Drosophila melanogaster: one gene and its partners. The protein of the gene in region 2 interacts with the protein of the main gene of each other region in a pairwise test. Each region holds a gene or a part of one and is shown on either strand. Other genes may lie near its edges.

Region 1 (5,008 bases), on a different chromosome or scaffold from region 2:
AATCGCTTATCACTCATCCCACCGCAAAGAAAAAAAAATAATAATAAAAAAAAAAATAAAAGAAAAAAACAACAACCCGTAAGACAGAGCTTTATACAATTGTGTTAGACTGGCGGATGGGATCATCATAGATATAACCACACTATACAGTAGATAGTATATCGTATTAAGCATATATAAGCCGCATGCCCGTGGCTTAAAAAAAAGTAGAAGAACAACAGGCCATTTCTGGGATGCCTCCAATTATTGCTTTTGTCGGCGGTGAGGGTATATATATACATATATACCATATATTGCTATATGAATGCCAGGCAGATAAACCCGCTTGATAAGCGCGTAACATTATTAACCAAACACACATTGGCACACATACATATACGATCAGACAACATACATATCCATATCTCTTGCATATACACATATGTACATGTATGTATGTATGAGATATCCAGGTGAATTGCTTTATTATCGTTATCATGACTCCGAAAATTCGGTTTCTAATACTTTTATTTGCTTTACAAACTTTTCGCCGTCTGCTGACAACAGCAACAGCAACAAAAGGAATAATAAACCACAAAAAAAAAAAGATGCCATTATATAAACGTAAATATGTGCTGGCTTATATATGTACATAATATTTATCTATAATACAGTATACAGTTAACTAAGATAAGCTCTTTTCCTCGCTATCGCTGCCGTTGTTTTGTTTTGCAGTTCTAGATACGAAAAAAAAAACGAATTAAACCAACGGATCCGAGGTTTTCGTATTTTCGTAGATATATACTTGTTTTTTTTTTTTATCAAGGAACCCCCTATTTTTCAACATCACCACCATCATATCGTTCTCATTCACTCAAAAAAAAAAAAAAAAAAAAAAAAAAAACGATAATTATTATAGCGAACGAAAAGCGAAGAATACAAAAAGACTTCTCCGAGTAACAGAACCTCATTTTAGTGATAAGATAAAATTCTAATTAATTAATAGCCTTTTAAGCAAACGCATACACTGAAAGAAAAGACCTGCATATGCAAGGTGGAAAAACCATTAGCTGATAAGGCGCGGGATTACCGTTCTTGAGCCTATATATCATCTCATCATCTTTAAAACAAGATGAAACTTAGTGGTAATTCGCATTATCAAGTCAGTAGTTCAAGGGATTTTCTTTGTTTTTTTTTTTCTTTTTATATTTAATAGATATGCGTATTGTAAAAGTCTTATTATTATAGTCTTTTTCTATAGTTATAATGGTCTTGCAGTTGATAAACTAAACGGTATAATACTGCTCTAGAGCAAAATAGATTGTTTTTTTTTTTTTTTAATTATGCCACATTTCATCTACGCGTAGCACCCGTTTCTCCCTGTGTATATGCACCAACTTGCTTATCTCTTTCGCTGCCATTCAGACCTGCCCTCATTCACTGCTCTTTTATGCTTTCGATAACAACAACACAAACAATCATTAATGATATTTAAAAACGAAAAAAAAAAAATAGTGTTTAATATTAAATTTACTAGGCTGCTCCACTTTGTTACTTGTCCGTTTTGCCAACCCGAATTCTTTAGTCTAGTTTGAGATTTCCCTGGTTTGTGACGTCATCGCGGGCGCCTACCTTCTTGGATCGATCCCGCTGACGATCACCAAGCTGCGTGGCGGCCATTAGTTCGCTGATCTGCCGCTCCCTCTCACGTTCGCGATCCCCCCGCTCGTAATCCTCCTGAAGCATCTCCTCCGCATCGCGATCATCCTCATCGCGATCCTGCTCATCGCGATCCTCGTCGTCATCCTCCTCCTCCTCCTCCTCGTCGCTGAGACTGCTGCTCTGGGTGCTGCTCTTCCTGGCGAGCGCAACTCGAACTCCATTCACGATGCACTCGCCACCATCGAGGGCAGAAATGGTGGATCCACAATAGTAGAGATTGCTGCAACTGCTTGCTGCACTGACATCCGATTGGCCATCGTCCTTGCCACATCCCGGCGACATTCCCGCCGCTCCCGATCCACCGTGTCCATGTGCGCCATGTCCACCGCTATGACTGTGATGTCCCGCCTCCAGGGAACAACGCCGCTGACCACGCGCCCGCTGCAGACGAAAGTATTCCATTTCCTCCATGCTAATGCCGCAGGCGGTTATGTCATCCGAATAGTCGCTAACCACGACGGATGGTGTGCGCACATAGCGCACGCCCAGCGGCAGTCCACTGACGCCCAGTTCGCTGTACGAGCTCTGGGTGGATTCACGTCGCGATCCCGGTGCGGCTACCACTCGCTCCTCGAGCAGCACCTTGGTGGGCACACCCACGCTCGGATTGCCACCGCCGGTGGGCGATGTCAGTGGCGAATCTGGCAGGGCTGTGGGTTCGGCCAGTGGCAGTAGGGCCGGTCGCAGGGGTAAATCCGTTACGGTCAGTGTCATCCGACGTTGTGGCGGCAACGGCACATCCATGCCGCCATCGTCCACGTCCAGACCCAGGGCGGAATCACTACTGGCACAGCGTGTGACCTTCATTTTGCGCTGCCTCGGCGATAGGCTGTTATCCTCGTTGTCGCTGCTATAGGGACTCAGTCCGCCGCCGGTGACATTACAGCCCTCATCCGAATTGGATGCAGTGGCTCCGGGCAGTGTCTTGGGCTCGCCCTCGTTGCTCAGCTGCTGCTGCTGCTGCTGCTGGACAATCATGGCCTGGAACTGATCGATTAGCTGTTGCACCGGCTTGCCTCGTTCCGTCTTGCAGCTGGGATAAGCACTGCGGTAGTTGGTGGTGCGAGTGATTCTAGTGGTGCTGCTTGTCTCGCTATCGCGGGCTAATCCACCCACTTGATTGCCGAAAAATTGCGCTTTCAACTGCGCCTTGCGTAGGGCCAACTCGGAGATGGATGCCACCTCACATGGATAACCAATGTCACTTCGCTGATTGGATGTGGCCGCAATTGGGTTTGCTCTAGCTCTGACTGTAGCTGCTACTTTGGTTCTGGCTCTGGCTCGGGCACTAGCTCCAATCTGCTCCGCTGTCCGCTGATAACTGAACGCCGTTGCCTCTGCCGTCGTCCATTTATTTTCAATTTTAACCGTTCTCCGCGTTGTCGTCGTTGTTGTTTTTCCAATTGTTGTTGCTTTTGCTGTCGTTTTCGTTTTCGCCCTCGCTGCCGACGCTTTCGACGTCGACGTCGACGTCGTTATCTTTGGCATGACATCGAATTGGAAAGCGGGGGCGTCAGACGTTCGCGAAACCGTTCCCGTACCGCCGTCGCACGCACTCATCTCACATGGATGGATTGGCTGGATCGCGGGTAGAGGTGGGGTGGGTAAAGGTATGTATACACCAGGTTAGCAAAGAGTTGGGACTAATGAAGTAAGTGTGAGATTCGTTAGAACAGCAAAAATGAAATAGGAATATGCAAGAAAGTGTAATGGGATTGGTGATAAGAAAGATGTTGTAAGCAGAAGAAGTTGAAAAAAGTGCAGAAAATGGAAAATGGAAATTCGTACTATTTTCTGTATACTAATTTACTAAGGCTTATATAAAGAATTCAATGGTAAGAGATGGTAAAAAAATAGCTAGAATGGTAAATGTTAGAAGCGAGTGAAAAGTGAAAGGCTGGCGGATAGAACGATAGTAGAAAGCATAAAAACAGTGAAGATTTCCGTTAAGAATGAGTGTGTGAAGATAGTTAAAAGGGAGGATGGGAATAATAAGAAAAAGGATAGTAGAAAGAGAAACTAGTGAAGAGTAGTGGATGATGGTTGGGTAGTGATTGGGAGTGACTGATAAGGAAAGACTCAAAAGTGAAATGGTGCTTATGGTGTTGGAAAACGATCTGTGTGTTCCGTCGAAACGCGCTACTAACGCTGGCGTCGAGGCAAAATCGAGTGGAACTATAGGTGAAAATGCCACTGGAATTCCCGGCAAACATTCTACGTCCGCACTTTCCGAATGGCACCTGTGCGCTGCCGTCGCCGAACTGAAATCGCTTTCTGCGGCTCTGCAGCTCTGCCCGTTTTTTCCAGCGGGCCGGCGGGAGGGGCGAAAAGAATCGAGAAGAGCAGCGTGGGGGGCGGGGGGAGGGGAGTCTCGTGGGGCGAGAATGGGCGAGGGGAGGAGGCTCGAAGAATTGTATAGAAGAATCGTTGAGCCGCGGAGTGGAGTGGCGCATCAACGGAGAGCAGCTGTTGTGGGGGCGGGCGGCCGTTCTGCCGTTCTTATTTACTTGTATTGTTGATAGTTTTCTTCGACAAATTTGCTGTGCCTTACTTAATTTTCGGTTGCTTTTGCCACTGTTCGGTTCTCTCGCAATTGAGATGGATTTTTTGGTGCTACTGCAACTGCCACTGCGTCGGGGTAATTGTAATTGTGATCTTGAAACGTTGACGCAATGTGCAATGATCCCGCACGTACGCACGCACACAACGGTAGCTGCTCCAATTGCCGCGCGTAATTGTAAATTGCATTTGAGCACAGAGCACTGAGCGGGCACAGATACGTCGCACACACACACACACGCGCGAACACACAGAGAGGCGCACGCACACCAGCACACACAGTGACAGACTGACAGGCGATGCGAGCCCAATGCAATAAAGCACTCTGCGAGCACCACTACAAGCGCACAGTCACGCACAATGGGACGAATCGGTGATTTATCGCCAAAAAAAAAAAATGAATTAAAAAAAACCCAGCTGACTAAGAACTTTTCCCGGAAAGCAACTAAAGCACTAACTAGTTTTTCAAGATCAGATTTATGAAGCTTACCGAAACAAAAGGTATAATTAAATTTTGCAGTACAAGCACTTATTAAAAACTAAATTGTATGGTTTAAAACTGGCAGCAGTCTTTAGTAAACAATTACAAGCTGTAAAATTCCCGTTGAAATATGAACAAAATTAAATAGCTCTGCCCATGTTCGTATCGTGTTCATGTTTCTGCTTATAAATAAGTTCCCATCTTGCTTTTTATAGTTAACTATCAGACCAAATGACGCAAATAACATTTTATCGCTTTACACCAACT
Region 2 (4,580 bases):
GATGCAATCATAAAATATAAAATATAAGTTAGCTGTTTTAGTTTCTACATATGTGCAATAAATTTCGTATTTATAATGATAATAATAATGGAATAAATGTCATGACTTTTTTAGAGTTAATAAACATATACTTAAGAAGACACTTGCTAATGTGCCAAATATCAGGTACGCAGCCCTTAACTTAACGCCACTTGAGGCAAGTTGTATCGCACCGGACCTTACCTAACGCAAACCATCGAAACAAAAAAGTGAAAAACCGGTGCAAACCGATTTCCAAGATTGCGAAATGTGAAACGTGTTAAGCGAAACAAGCCCCCCAATGAACTTTGCGCGGACTAAACATCAGCCCATATTTCAAGATTCTATTGTTTACCCCCGGTGAAAGAATTACGAGTTCCAAGAATTGAATTTAATAAACTTTAATCACGAGCCTTCAACTTATTTGTTAATTTTGCAAATTATATTTTATTGTATCGCGCCAATCGAATTTCCGCACGAAGAAGATAGTAGTGGGGGAAAGGACCCTTTTAACGAATTTGGCTTATCAACCGCAAAGAAATCAATAATTCTTATCAACCATCCGCTGATTCTTTTGGTCGCCAAGTCTCAAGTGATTCATATTTAAATGATATACGGAAATGATTAGCTTGATAAGAATCTAATTCACTGATATATGACCTCATTTTACAAATTATTTAAAGCGGGTGACTATAAATCTATTTTCGGAATGGGAGTAATATGCTCCTAACGTAATGAAAAACTCAAATCCTAATCACCTTTAAAAGTAAGTAACTTTAAAGAGTAAAAAAAAAGACATTTTCAGAGCACCTGTCACCTTTGAGGATCCTGCTATCAAATCGATACCCATTCAATTGATTAGTTTTTTTGGGGCTTGGCCGAAATTTCATTGTTGAACATGAACAATTTCATTGTTGATATGCAAAGTGCTGGGGTATGAAGTGTGTGGCATGGCACTGGTTCTTGGCTCTTGACTCTATCTCAACTCTCCTCACCTCACCACCCAACCAACCTGCGAACGGAGTTGTCTTATCAGGCCAGAGCAAACAAATTGAACTCATTTCTCTTTTTAAACAACAGCTTCGACGCAATTGTCGACACGGGTCTACGCATAGATATAGATACTCCAATAAGAACCAACTCGTCTTGGTCTTCTTGGCCCGGTCGGGCTTAATCAGTTCAGTTCGGCTGGAGGAGCACCGAATATGGTAAATGGGAAAACGCAGTCGAGATAATGCTACGCCAAGAACGAGAAGGAGAAGAAAGAAGCAGGTTAAGTTTTTCCATTCCATTTTTATCTAATTAGGCTAAGCAGGCAACGCGACAAACGCTGGACAAATATTTATTATTGTACTGTAAAAATAATCAATCACTCGATCGTTACAGCAAATGGTAATGGTATCTGTACGGCTGTATCTATATACGCCACCCAGATAACGGCATTTGAATAAGAAAAAAATAAAGAACGAGTGTCCAACCAAAAGGAAATGCAGTTCCAACTTGTCCAGAGGCACTTGAACTCAAAACTGCGGCACACCACAAGTGTTATGCTAATAAAACATATCGTGCCGATCGCCTTATCAATAAGGCAACATAATATACGCTTGTGTATTGATATAGATATACACATTAAACAAATCGAACGGTGGGTTGGTACGATATTTAAAGTGTAAATCGATCGATTTTTCTCGCACTTTGTTTGCCGTATTTATTTATTTCAATTTCAATATTATTTCTCGCCTCACCGTTCACCCCCGGCGACATTGCGAAAGATACTGGAGTTACAGGTATCCCACTTCAACTTTTGTAGAGTAAACTTTGATGCAGGTTCTGTTTACCTCCGGTCTGAAACTCAAGGCGCCTTACTTAAAAATGGTTTATACAATATCCCCCCTCTTATATGGTATACATTTCCTTTACTTTCAGTAATTTTCAGTAAATTAAGTGGTGAAAAGCCCGTTTTATAGATTGTCAAACACTATTTACTGCTGCGGGGTGGGGTAAAACCCTTTAAAAACGCTAGGCAACATAAATTCAAAAATGTTTCATTTATTAAAGCTTGTTAGAGATTGCAGATTAGGATTGTGAAATTCTACACGGCTTTGATTAATTGAATGAATCATGATTAGGGTCCAGGTGGCCTGGGGAACTCTTATCAACAAAAATTTCGGATGTCACTTGTTGTAAAATTGTTCAATCTTTTAGTCAAAAAAGGTAAGTCATTTTCGTAATTAGAAAATCAGTGAAGTTATTTATTAAATGACCCATTATTATTTTCTTTTATAAATAAAACATTTATACAATTGTATTTCTTTCCTAAATTTGTTGGTTACCAAGGTATTTAAATATTTATATACCAAAAAGATGACTGTAAGCAATTCTAAAATTTTTCAAGAAGCTTCAGACCCTTGGTCTTGGTTTTCAATCATTAAAAAATTTATTTTTGTGGTAACTACAACTTTAAATTTATTTTCTGCACATGTATATTGTTATTTTATTTTCATGTATAACAACTTGTACACAAATAATCAACCTTTCTAGATATGTGTCAATAAAATTTCTATGAATTCTTTTATATTTTTCATAGCTTAATTTAATACTCATGGGATTTACCTCAATTGTTGAGTTTTTCAGACAAACATTTCAATCTTTAAATATCAAATTCATTTCGTTCAAGTGAATAAGTTATTAGTTATCACTGTACTTTATCTGCACAATATGGGGCACTCTTTAAAAACTATAAGCGTATAGTTTTTCAATAAATTATGATGTTACTATGAGCGAAATTTGCGTCTCATTCGCAGCACGTTTCGATTCGCACAAATGCCGTCGTCAAAACGCAAAAAACTGCGGCACAAAAAGAGATCGGAAAAATCGCGACGCGAGAGCGATGAGAATGGGGATTTTTATTAGAGGGGTTCATTCGGGATCGTATTGTATCGGTCGAGTAGCGCATGGGATATCGCGGAGGACAAAATGTGTTGCCAAAGTCCGGGGAGCGCGCGCACTTGAGCTACAACCACTGAACGCTGAACTCAACTGAGGCGAGCTCGCCAAAAGTATCTTAAAGATGCGCAACAGATCGGCAACTTTAACGGCAGCGGGCTGCAACAAGTTTTTTTTTGCCAAATCCATATAAACAAAAGGCAAATAAACAAACGGCAGTGCACTGAAACAATTGCAATGTGAAGTGTCTCTGTGTTCGGGTTTTGCTGTAAGTGTGCGTGACTTTAGTTGCTCGTATCTGCTGCAGGTACTTGCACACACAGATGCACACCTGCTTGCAACATTGCAATTGCAGGAGAGGGATAAAAGAGAGCGCTTAAGCTCTCTCAAAACCGCAATGAGTTATGTTTAAACATTAATTCATTTTAGTGTAAAAAAAAACAATTAAGTTTAGTTTGAGAGCTAAAATTCTCTTGTCTCTGAAAAACTCTCGCTCTTGCTCTCTCTGCGCGCTCTCCACTCACCACTACTACTGCAAAAAGCAGCGATCGCTCACTTAGGTTCCACAAAAAGCTGACCCGTTGGGGAAAAAGAGACAACTAATCGCGCTCGCTAATTTTCACACACACTCTTGCAATATTCAAATCTGGTTGCTCGCTGTCCCTCTCTCACTTGCATGCTCCCTCGCTTTATTTAAATTTATGATTATCGCCCCCTTGTGTGTGTGCCTACTTAATCCAATTGGAGGTGGAGCCGTGACTCTCCGTCCAATTGGGAGATACGTTCGCATAGACTCTCATTCCGCCTGCATATATCGCCTCGTTAACTGTCACATTGACGCAGGTGGGGGCTTTATCTTTATTTTGGGGCCCGGACTTATCCAATTGGATTTTTGTTTTGCAAACTGGTTTCGCCAACGCCTCTTATTGGCAGCGTTATTTTTAGGTTTGCTTCGGCTATTATCTAAGTACAAATTGATTAGAGGAATGCGAATTTGTAGTAAAAGCTTTTAATTGCGAGGGAATTTGAATTTATTGCGATTTATTTCCCTTTGGCTTAATTCAGTACAATACTTTTGTATTGAAATAAATAAATTTATATATGTATCTTGCCATTCATTCTTGGTTTCATCCAGATAAGAAATTATATGTAATTATATAACTAGATAATTATACATTTTCTTTGTTTTACTACGTGCTTACTTACATTTTGCTAACAATACCTTAAAAAAAAAACTACACAAAATTATTATTTTACACATGATAAAAAATAGTTCTGTTTATATGGAGTGTATTTAGTTTGTCATCATCTGGATAAACTCAACAATGTAAATTAATCGTCAAAAATTCGAAAGAAATATTTCCCAGCTAAACGGTTATCCATTGAATGGCGAAGAGCATTCAGGTTGGACCTGCCCCGCGGAGTTTCCATTGAAGGGCATTGTTTTGGAGGGCGCCGCTGCTTCACAAATCGCATACGCACGATCTGCTGACACAATTCCGCCAGCAATTAAGTTGATTCACCTCCGCGGGCTGGAGATTTTACCTGTTGCTCAATTTGCCGGCATTTAAAAAAGCTGTCAACAGCGATCGGGAATCGGGTATCGGCGCGATCGA
Region 3 (4,200 bases), 1.4 Mb from region 2:
GATATATCTTTATCTAAAGTATCTTAAATTTGTCCGCCAATTTAAGCCATTTGCTTATCGCTTCCAGGAACTGCGAGAATGGGCTCTGTGAGTCGCGGTACAAGTGTCACTGCCGCGAAGGATATCGCTACGACGTGAACACCACCAGCTGTTTGCCGGAGTGCAGCGACAACTGTGGCCAAGGAAATGGGGTGTGCATTGCGCCCGGAGTGTGCCGCTGCTTCCGAGGATACGAGGTCCACGGTGCCGAGTGTCGGCCAAAGTGTGAGAGGTCTGTTACCCGGAGCAAAAGCTGTGTTCACCTTCATGAAGTTCCGCTTATTCAGCAGATTCTGCGGCAAATACGGGCGTTGTGTGGCTCCCGAAATCTGCGGCTGTGGTGAGGGTCAACAGCATTGCCGGAACGGAAGCTGTGACGATATCGAGCACTGCAGTTGCCCATCGGGGGAAACCCACTTCATCGATCGCTGTTTGAAGGCGGACCGCCTCAGTCAGCATCTCAACACTAGCGAAAAGAGAAAGCACTTCAATCGCCAACTTGCTTATGAGTTTAATGCCCTGATAGGGCGTCTATTTAATTTCTGATCCAAGACGAAACAATAAAGTGCGAAAGTCTAAGTTAGACGGCCTGGCAGGTCTGGCGTCCCTTGATGCCGCTCTTGATGAATCCCGGCCTGCAGATGCAGAAGTTTGGGGCACTGCAGTAACCGTTCTGGCATCCCTGCGGGCAGTGTGGCTGGCAGATGTTCCGCTGGTGCTCGTCCCTCACATATCCGGTCTTGCAGTCGCACTGGTTGTTGCCCACACAGACGCCGTTCAAGCACGGAAGGTCACACTTCGGCAGACACTCGGCCGACTTCCGGTCCCACTCGAAACCGGAAGCGCACTCACAGATGTCCGGTCCAATGCAGCGTCCGTTCTTGCAGGGTCTGAAATAGGGAAATAATTAAATTATCTAAACTATACATCGCAAGCAGATTTCATTGTTTTTTAAAGGCCACACTTACATGGAGCAAATGGGTTCGCAGCGTCCTTGGAGCTTTAGGTAGCCTGCGTTGCAGTTGCAGTGTCCTGGAGCCGTGCACTTGCCATTCTCGCAACTGTCGCACACTGGTTCGCAGGATCCATCGGCGGCCAGGCGGTATCCGTCGAGGCAGGCGCACTTGTTGGGCGCCACACAGCGTCCAAAGGAGCAGCCGGGCTTGCATTCCGGCTGGCAGTACTTACGAGTCTCCGGCTCAAGCGAGTATCCCTCGCGGCACTTGCACTCATTCCGCTCGTCGCACACTCCGTTGCCGCAGCCCAGGGGACAGGTGGAGATGCACTTGCCCTCGGCGGTGCGAACGTGGCCGGGTATGCAGACACAGGTATTCGGAGCAGTGCATATTCCATTCCGGCAGTCATCCGCGCAGATCGGCTCACAGCGGCGGTAGATGTGCGGATTTCGCTCATAGCCATCGCAGCAGACTTGGATGCGACTCATGTCCGGAGTGGTGCCATTGCCAACGAACTGATCCCGCGAATTGCGGAGCAGTGACGCGGTTCTGGATATAAACAAGGAAAACATTAGGTTTACTTAAACAACTTAAAATCATGAATGCAATGACATATATTTTTCCTAGGGAAACTAATAAAACAGATAATCAACATGTCTAAATAATACCTTAGTAAAGATGTGTGTCAAAATTGAAAAATAATTTTGTCCTTTAAAGTTTTAAACTACATATTGTCCAAGAGAATGCAAATGAAACTAGTCAATTCAACTAAATTTAAAAACTTTTCGCTTATCTACTGACTTTCCGCTCGTTGCATATTAAATTCATTCACATTATTAGCTTGGCACACATATACTCGTGAAATCAAGGCGCATTTTAATTATCAGGCCAGCGGAGGAAGTTGAGGTCGTTAGTTCACTATTTTTATGGCTTGCCTTGTTTTCGAATGCCTTCCGAATTGGGCGATAGCTTTAAGTGGAATTATAAAAGTGTTTTCCTCTCGATTGTTAGTATTTTTTGTCCGAAATTAACCCATCACTTACGGAACTTCCTTGTAGCACACACCACTGGCCATGGCAGATCTGGTTTTGTTGATGAACAGGGCCGTTTCATCCAGGACCTGGACACGATGAGCGGGCGGAGTCACCGGCTGCACGTAGTGTCCATAAAGGGGCGGCAATGTGACCGGTTGAAAGACCTCGGCGCGCACAAATCCAGCGGATCCCTGTTCCACATGGTTCTGCTGGTTCCAGGCGTAGTTGCTCTGGTTTTGAGTGCTCCAACCGTAGCTGCTCTGGTTGTAGCTCCTCCATCCCGACTCACTGCTATTGCCGGCAAGCTGCAGGTTTCCCGATGGCGGCTGCCGTGTCTTGATGCCAGCCGTCTTGAATTGTCCCTGACCCAGGGAACAGATGGCCAGCAGAACGCCCAGAGTCACCAGCTGGCACGATGATGACCTCATGGTGATGTCACTTGATTACGGATTTCGTACGTATGGAAATTGATTATGCGCCCACGTCCACGTCCGCTGGCGACTGTAGTTGCACATCGACTAATCGGCTCCCGATGCGAAGCTCCGGATCTCTGAGCCGCCATTCGCCTCCGGCAACCTCTTGTCCCCCTTCTAATCAGCACCTCGCCAATGTACCCATCAATGTGGCAAACGGAGCGAAGGTTTGCTCTCAGTAGCTTCGGGCAAAGCAAATCGATCATTGCCATAAATTGTGAGTCGTAAACAAAACTCATTGCTTTTGGGTAATTCCAAGAAAAGTTTGCGTACAACGATGACTTCAGGTATAGAGATTATTTCTTGATGAAATATCAGATTTAAAGGCACAGAACATAAAAATGATGAACCTTTAAAACTTATGAAGGTTTTTTCAAAAAAAAAATTTAACGTTTCTATGTAATCATGAATGGTCGTAAAAAACAGGTTAATAATATTTCAAATAGTAGAAGTATTGATCAAATAATGATAAAGTAAGCAACTCAAAAAATATTGTAATTGATATTATTTATTTTTGTTATTCCAAGACAAAACGACACCTTTTGTTACTCCGATAGTAACCCGGAGCACACTCGCACTCCTCGGGCGCCAGGCACAATCCATTGGAGCAGTCCTCCGAGCAAATGGGCTCGCACTTCAGGTTCTGGCTTGTTCCCTTATTCACATAACCATCGCAGCAGTAGGAGAACTGACGATTTCTGGAGTTGGGATTGATGGTTTCCACGCTGGGAGTGGGAATTGATCTTGAAATTCGGTCAGGCGTGCGGAATGGTTTACCTACGTGAGCGTCCTGTAACAGATGCCGGATCCCCTCTCGGCCAGAGCCTCTTTTCGCCACTGCGTAACAGGATCCACCGACCAGAATTGTGCGGCAGTGCGCGTGGGCAGCTCGATCCCCAGACCGCAGATAAGGAGTCCAATCAGCGTGGATGTCAAGTGCATTTCGCTCGGATTCAGCTGAAGGCGAGGTCGTATCAAAATGCGAGCGCAATGCTCGCCAGTGTCTCGGAGCTACTAAATTGTCGTCTGTGTCAAGCGCGGCATTTAAGTGTACGGAGATAGAAATGTTCTATATTCCTAGGAAGATAATTATGTGTTCAGTACCCGGTATTCGTGGGGTATGTTGACTATGCAGAAAATAAGTGATATACCAAATAATAAATACCTATTCAAATGAAACAACTTTCGAGAGGGTACCAAATCTTCGACGTACGTTTACAATTTAAGCTAGACTTGCTTCAAAAAAGCGAAATCCCAAGAGATGAAGCCACAAGATATTTCAGACACCCCTGATAAGAACACAACGTCTTGGGAAATGCATGAATATTTATTAGAGACTGCTCAGTGATGCTGGAAAAGTGAGAGCTCCGAACTCACAACCACCACATATCGCTGAGTGTGGTCAAGTTGAAGTGCCTGCCCAGCAGAAGATTGAATTCCTGGATGAGCGATGCGTTCACCTTGACGGGATTCATAGAGGCGTATGTGGTGACCGTGTCCGGCGACATGCAGCGATCGATGAATCGCGTCATGCCCACCTGGCAGCGGCATCTTCCCATGGCGTTGCACAATCCGTACTCGCAACGCTGGTAGGTGCGTTCCGGACCCGGGACTATGGCGCATCCGCACACATTCGGTGCGATGCATTTGCCGTAAAAACCACATCCACCCACGCAGACCGCCTCGCATCGCTCCCGA

The links.
Region 1: the proteins of nub (region 2) and IP3K2 interact in a two-hybrid assay, tested with the Drosophila melanogaster proteins (one large-scale study listed by BioGRID).
Region 3: the proteins of nub (region 2) and NimB2 interact in a two-hybrid assay, tested with the Drosophila melanogaster proteins (one large-scale study listed by BioGRID).

What each region holds. Positions count from the first base shown.
Region 1 is NC_004354.4:13,303,551-13,308,558, reverse strand, and holds the start of IP3K2 (inositol 1,4,5-triphosphate kinase 2), read right to left. Parts: upstream 3,045-5,008; 5' UTR 2,680-3,044; coding exon 1,612-2,679; exon of another isoform or gene 555-1,611; intron 1-554.
Region 2 is NT_033779.5:12,586,104-12,590,683, reverse strand, and holds the start of nub (nubbin), read right to left. Parts: upstream 3,060-4,580; 5' UTR 2,632-3,059; intron 1-2,631. UniProt on the Drosophila melanogaster protein: DNA-binding regulatory protein implicated in early development. Involved in neuronal cell fate decision. Repressed directly or indirectly by the BX-C homeotic proteins.
Region 3 is NT_033779.5:13,964,468-13,968,667, forward strand, and holds NimB2 (nimrod B2), read right to left. Parts: upstream 2,552-4,200; 5' UTR 2,458-2,551; coding exon 2,039-2,457; intron 1,545-2,038; coding exon 1,008-1,544; intron 930-1,007; coding exon 620-929; 3' UTR 586-619; downstream 1-585. Other genes in the region: NimB1 (nimrod B1), read left to right, coding at 68-271, 327-585; NimB3 (nimrod B3), read right to left, coding at 3,020-3,227, 3,284-3,444; NimB4 (nimrod B4), read right to left, coding at 3,876-4,200.